Callithrix jacchus: one gene and its partner. The main gene of each other region encodes a partner of the protein of the gene in region 2 in a complex. Links are inferred from orthologs where the notes say so. Each region holds a gene or a part of one and is shown on either strand. Other genes may lie near its edges.

Evidence for each region. Proteins that work in one complex are often made in the same cells at the same time.
Region 1: ARID1B (region 2) and SMARCB1 share a complex: the UniProt entries of both Homo sapiens proteins name them as parts of the neuron-specific chromatin remodeling complex. The link is inferred for Callithrix jacchus from reciprocal best matches to the Homo sapiens genes ARID1B and SMARCB1.

Annotation. Positions count from the first base shown.
Region 1 is NC_133502.1:192,656,994-192,660,405, forward strand, and holds the end of SMARCB1 (SWI/SNF-related matrix-associated actin-dependent regulator of chromatin subfamily B member 1), read right to left. Parts: intron 1,429-3,412; coding exon 1,297-1,428; intron 864-1,296; coding exon 824-863; 3' UTR 515-823; downstream 1-514.
Region 2 is NC_133505.1:164,029,113-164,032,762, reverse strand, and holds part of ARID1B (AT-rich interactive domain-containing protein 1B), read right to left. Parts: intron 2,574-3,650; coding exon 2,423-2,573; intron 1-2,422. UniProt on the Homo sapiens protein: Involved in transcriptional activation and repression of select genes by chromatin remodeling (alteration of DNA-nucleosome topology).

The DNA.
Region 1 (3,412 bases), on a different chromosome or scaffold from region 2:
ACAACCCCCAAGAGCTGGCACCAGGCCACAGCGCCTGCTGGGGTGGGGAAAGGGCCCCAGTACTATGGGCACCACTGGAGCTAGAACAGCCACCTGTACCCAGGCTGGCAACAGCCCAGCAGTGCTCACACAGGACCAGGCCTTCTGCCAGGGACTCCAGAACAGCAAGGCCCCAACTGGCAGCAGCCTGATCATCTGGACACAGCAGAAGAGCTCACAGCTCCTTCCTGAAGATGAGCAAGGGGAGCAGGGCTGTTGCTGAAAGGCAGGAAGCCCCTGCCCTGAGCCCCACAGCCATTCTTCTCAGCTTTCTGGGTCTGGAAGGAGAACATGCTGAGAGGACTGAGGTGCTACCAGGAGCCCCATTCACCCCCAACACCCCAACCTGGGAATCTGAGGCAGAGGGGAGAGAGGCCTGCCAGCCTATTCACATGCCACCTTTGTCCCTCCGGGCCCCAGCCCCACTCCTGGCTCTCATTATTTTTATGCTAAAACTTTAAAGAAATTGAACATGACCTGTTGTTGCCTTTTATTTAAAAACTGTAACTAGCCCTGCCTGGGGCTCCTATACAAAAACAAAACACAACCCAAAATCAGGTTTCCTCCAGACCCCAGGGACTGGGGAGGGGTGGGGGCACAGGACTGGGGCTCAGCAAATGGAATGTGTGCCGGGGAAGGCCACCTGGAAGCCCCCACTCCACCCCCGCCCCAATCCTCAGGATGGTGCTGGGCTGTCCCCTCGCCTCTGTCCTTGCCAGAAGATGGAGGAGAGGTGGCCCGGTCTTCTGAGATGCTCCGTGGGAGCCGCATGCCGATGGGCTGGTTACCAGGCCGGGGCCGTGTTGGCGAGACGCCTCATCCGCCTGGAGAAGGAGTTGGGGAGGGCAGTGAGCAGGGCCGGCTTCCAACCTGGGCACTGCCCTTCCTAAGGCTCTCCAGGGTAGCCAGGTGTGGGGGTAGGAACAGAGGCAGGATGTAGGCCCCCAGCAGGGTTGGACCCAGCCTTCTCTCAGCCTCACCTGTCTGCTGCTCAGACCCTACCCATCACTCCAGGGATCCTGAAGCCTGGATCTGGGCTGTGGTCAGATCCAGCCTGAGGAATTATGTTTATTCCCTGCAGGGAAACATACCCTGGGGCCTGGATGGGGCCTCATCACCCAGGAGACTGCCTGCCTCTAGCAACACTAGAGGTACTCTCTTCCAGAGACCATGGGAGACTGGGAAAGGCAATGGCCCTGTCCCTGGCAGGAAAGCCAGGTGACTATGGGCAGAGCCGGACCACAGTGCCAGGGGTACCTTGTGTTCCTGTCCTGGTCGCGGATCTTCTTCTCCATCTCAGCATCTGTCAGAGTCTCCAGCAGTGGGCACCACTGGTCTGCATCGCCCGTGTTCCGGATGGCAATCTCCACCGTGGGTAGAGGGTTCTCACTACAGGGAGGGGAGGCAGTGAGAGGAATAACTTTTCCAGCTATAGATGAAGAGTCCTCAGAAAGCTCTGGCCAGGGGACTCTGGCCCCTGTCTGTGCCCTGCCTCTCCCAGCAGCACTGCTGGCACCCAGGGATGCTCCTGTCACCTGAACCTCAAGGGAGCTGCTGGAGGTGCCAGGCTGTCCCCAGAACAGTGCTGCCACCATGACCCCATGGGCTTCCCTTCAAAGTGAACTTTCAACAGGCCCTTTGTGCCTAGCGTCTGTCTGTCTCTGAGATGGGGGAGGGGCCACTGGCTGTGGAGGAGGTCTTCCTTGACAGGACAGCACAGGCTGGGCCACGCTGATGGGCCAGGCTGATGCCACTGGGCCTCGGTCAGGAGGGCTGTCTGCTCCACCCAGTGTCCAGAGCCAGGGCCCGCTGATCAGAGAAAAGGGATGGATGGCAAATGGGAGCAAAAGAGTCTCCCATAAGTCCCCAGTGCCCCACTACTGAGGCCACTGCACAGCCTGCTCCTGCTTGTTCCACACGCTTGCCCCTCAGCCCACCTCCTGACCCAACCAAACCTCTGAGAGGCTGGTGTGTGCCTAGGGTCAGACAGCTGGCTGGCAGGGAGCTGGACTGAAGCCATATCTCTGGACCACACTCTGCCCTGGGTCTCACAAAGACCACCCAACTCTGCCCCCAGGTACCCTCCCCTTGCCAAGAGGACACAGCGGAGGAGGGGGGCAGCACGGGCAGAGGCTACACAGGCATGGGGTGGGCGCAGGAGCACTGGAGGGTGGCTGGCTGTCACCTTTGGGCCTTGATTTGCAAGTCAGTGTGACGGGATGCTAAGGAGACTACAGCTGTGGATGCCACAGCGCCCATGTGCCTCCCACGTGCAGTGGCTCCTGTCACTCCCACCTCTGAGAGAACAGCTTTGGGTGCTGTTTCCCAGTTGAGTGACACCAAACCCCTGGCCTGGCAGAAAGCCTCAATGTGAGGTCCTAATCACGACTCTCCTGCTTCCCCTCCCCTCTCGTGGTCCTTTCCTTTCTCCTCCACTTGGCACTTGCTCAGTTCCCTGGGAGAAGGCCACCCTGCTCTCCCTCAGCCTGCGACCCTGCAAAACACCGTGAGCTCGGAGGAGCAAGGGCAGGCTGGGTTCAGGGGAGGTGCCAGGCAGACACTGACGGAGTAGAAGACAGGTCCCTGCAGACCTCACCTGGAATATGGAAACATTTACTGCTGTGAAAGGCTGTTGAAGGATGTTACTAAAGAAGCCAATACACACCCACTGAGGGAGCTTTCTAGGGCCAGGGACCTCTCACAGCTTCCCTGTAGCCAGTGCTTGAGGTTGTGGGACCCATCAGCTGCAGAGGTCAGCCTGCAGAGCTCTGGCTCCCCACACCCACACCAGTGCACACACACCCAACACCAGAAGCCTCAAGCCCTTTCCAGGTCAGGCTCAGTGCTGCTCTCCTCAGCCTGAGGTCTCAGGGACTGTAAGCATGCAGGGCACTGGCTGCGGCTGGCTCTCCCTGCAGCAGGCCTGACCCTCACAGCTGAAGCTCAGACCACCAGGTCCAGGCCCATGAAGCCCAGAAGCTCGAGCTCATGCTGGTGACGCAGAGACCAGGACCAGAGACAGTGCTGGCGCCCCACCCCTGTGGCCCTCTGGGGCTGACCCATCATCAGCAGCTCCTGACAGCTGTTCCTCAGCCAGCACTGGGTGGTTTAGCAAGCTAGGGACTGCCCCAGCCTCAAACCCCAAACCTCATTCCTCACTGTGGGGGCTCCCAGCAGCGTTCCTTGGAAGGCAGACATGAAAGGCAGCAAGCCCACACCAAGGGGAGCAAAACGTTTTCCTCTTAACTTAAACAAGAGCTGACGAGTGGGTCCCAGAGGCCCCTTTGTTTACCTCCCCGTGGCTCTGGGAAGATTCCACTCCAATGGGTTTGTTCTAAAATAAGAACTGTTCGAACCAACCATGTAAGAATGA
Region 2 (3,650 bases):
ACGAGGCATTCAAAGAAAACTTAACTGAGAAAGAGCTTCAGGCAAACGGAGAAAGGAACAATCCATTTCCAGGAACCCCGATTCCCCCAGCAGCTCTGCTTGACCTTCACTGTGCACCCCTCCGACGAAGGCCCTCTGAGACGCAGCCGCATGCCAACTGCTAGCACCAGGGATGGGAACACCCATTTTGGGAATGGTGCCAAACTTCTGGTTCGGGCTGTTGGCTAATAGGTGTCAGAGGAATACCGGTTGAACAGGCAGGCGCCCTGTAAGCACCTGTCAGAGCCTCTGGCCTCTGCGTGGAGGCCGCAGCCCCGCCTCTCCACTGATGTGTGCCTTAGGAAGTGTCGTACAATGCTGTGATGTGAGGCATCCATGGAAGCCAGAAACGACGAGAAGAACTTAAGACTCAAAGCAATGTTCCTAGAAGTACCAGAACACCGACATGTTTGTCCTTTGCACATTCTCATTATGAATGGAAAATGTTTAATTTTTAAAAGCTACACTTCAAACTTAATTCAAATGTTAGCTAACTAATCACTGTATAAATACAAGTGCTCAGAATTTCAAAGTCCTATGTCCCAAAGGGCTAGAAAAGAATAATAGGGATGATTTAAATGTACACCTATTACATCTTAAAATGGAAATGAACTCATACTTTTATCTTTCAACTACTAGCATATTAAGAAATTACAAATACCATCAAAAATAGCAAGTTTTAAAAGGCAATAGATTTGGAACTTTGAAAGATACACTGGTTTAGGTTAATATACTAAGTCTTGTAGGAAACAGAACAATGGACTGAATATATTCCCAACGTGATTGAAGAATGAGAATAATAAAAATAAATAAATTTTTAGACTATCACATGTGAAACAGACATGGGCACTTTCGATAAGTAACTTTTAACCTTGAGATCTAAGAAGGAAGCTTAGAGATAAGAGGAAAGAAATGTAATTGACATGGTAAAATTTAAGTTGCCTAACAAGCAACGTTTTTTCAGAAGAGAAAACTTAACAATGAAGTAGACCTATCTTTAATATGATAGCGCCAAGATAATTCTTCTTCTAATCTTGCCAGCTATCCACCAAAAAAACATCTGTAGCTTTTCCTGGACCCTCAAAAATGAAACAAACCTAACTGAAATCCTTGATCCAGCACACTAAACAATACCTTATGGTTAACTGATGAATGAATATATCACAAGTAAATACTGACCACATCATGGCCAGGTTAAGAATTAGAAGAGTAAATTCCTAGGTGCCTAGGAGAAAGCAACATGGGATGGACTCCCCAGAACCAGGCTCACAGACAATACCATAAAGAAACCTCATTTGGTAAAGCAGTGATTTTTGAACCTTTTCTCCTTTGTATTACAGCAAGGAAGCTTTCCCACCAACCGACCTGTCCCTGTGACCCCAGCATGTGGAATGATGAAAGGTGAGTGGGTCTGGCCCAGTGGTCCCCAGCAGAACAGCACACGCAGCTTCCAAAGGCAGCGACCCCAAAGTCAGCTCCACCCTGTGGCATGCCACTGTGGCTCTGGCGAGGGAAAGGCCCTTCTAGTATGCCTCTGTATTTTTTTCTTTAAAAATCTGAAATATTATATGAAAGCCTTGTTTATAATTGTGTCTCTTGTTAGGAGGTAGAGAACACACCACCGAAGGGGAGGGGTTTATGATGATAAGTACTGAAGTCAGGGCACAGGCACGGGACCTTCTTCACAAAAAGAGGCCTACCCTAGGCCGTTATCTTAGGAAGCAGTTTGCAGACGCCCTTTCAGAGCCATTTCAATTACTTTTCCTCCTAGCTAATTAAAAATCAGTCTGTATTATCAGTCTGGCTGCTGAACTTGCCACTTTCACATCAAGATGACTTCCTTACGAGGCTGCAGTGAGCCTTGTGCTGTGGGCTTTCTAGAGATGTTTATTAAGGTGCAAAGTACTGTCTCTCTATTTAAAATGTTCACAGGGAAGAGTGGCAACATCTGAAAATGCACTGCCTGGAAGACCTTTCCAGAATGCTGAAGGCCCAGTGTGGCTACTCCTGCTCAGACCTTTGCCCAAGACAGAAAAGAGGAGAGGGAGGCTGGTGCTGTGGTGGCCCAGGCACCCAGGAGCTCCAGGTGATCCACACCTGGAGTGTGCAGCTGCCAGGCCCTCAGAAGGAAGCTGGGTGCTGATGCTGGGTGCCAATGTGACTGGGGTGGCCCTGGCTCTTGACTTTAGGAAGATAACTCCTACGAAGGCAGCCACCTGACACTCACCTGGTGACCAACAGCCATTGCCTCTTTACTTTCACAGGAAAGGGGACACTGTATACTGTCATCAGTGGTTCAGCTGCCAGGACTCAGAAGCACGTGTTTGAGGAGAAAGCACAGTTTCTAGAAAATCATCTTGTCGCCATCTGAGAAAACCCTCACCTTCGGTCGTAACTGGCTCCATAGGGAAACTGCTGGCGCTGCCCCATGCCTAGACTGGACACTGCTCCGGAGGGGCTCTGGCTGTACACGTCCTGCATGCCGCTGTTGGGCATCTGTCCTTGCGTCAGAAAGGGCTCGCTGCTTCCAGGCACTGCAATATTTTAAAAATGCAGACATTTAGGTGTTTCTAAAGTCTCAGGCCCATCCATCCCTGCTAGTAATTTCTATTGTCTTTGTACTTTTCTTTTTTGAGAGGGAGTCTTGCTGTGTCACCCAGGCTGAGTGCAGTGGTGTGATCTTGGCTCACTGCAACCTCCGCCTCCCGGGTTTAAGTATTCTCCTGCCTCAACCTCGCAAGTAGCTGGGATTACAGGCACCCACCACCACGTCCAGCTAAGTTTTGTATTTTCAGCAGAGACAGGGTTTCACCATGTAGGCCAAGCTAGTCTTGAACTCCTGACCTCAGGTGATCCACCCTCCTCAGCCTCTCAAACTGCTGGGATTACAGGCATGAGCCATACTTTTTCTTAATATGGTAGACCATAATACTATTGAAAGAGCATAAGGTGTGAGCCAAGATGTGCTCTGTGGGGGCCAAAATCTAAGATGGCCCTGAAGATCCAGTGCTCCCCTGCCCGGTGGGCACCTTCATGAGCCCCTCCCCTTCAGTGTGGGTAGGACCTATGAATACAACACCATCACTCCCATGATCATATTATGTTCAAGGCAAAAGGACTTCACGGAAGTGACTATAGTTACTAAGCAGCCGACTGCAAGTTAACCAGAAGGGAGATTGTCCGGGGAGCCCTTTAACTTTGGGTCTAGAGCTTAGAGATGAAGCAAGTCAGAGATATTTTCCTGCTGGCCTTGAAGAAGCAGCTGCCATGCTGTGGAGAGAGTCACGTGCTAGGGAGGGTGGGCAGAGGACAGTCAAGAAAACGGGACTGCAGCCTCAACCACAAGGACCTGAATTCTGCCAAGACTTAAACTCTGAAGAGGACCCTGAGCCTTTGAGGAGCTCACCGTCCTGCCAGACACCTTGATTTCAGCCTGTGAGACCCTGAGCACAGGCCTAGTCACACTGTGCCAGTTTTGTGACCCACAGACTTTGTGGGATCATACATTTATACTGTTTTAAGCTGCTAAATTTGTGGTAACTTGTTATATAACCACATAATAAACGAACACAGGCCCAGATCCATTCCTTACTTGGGTTAAGTCACCTGAG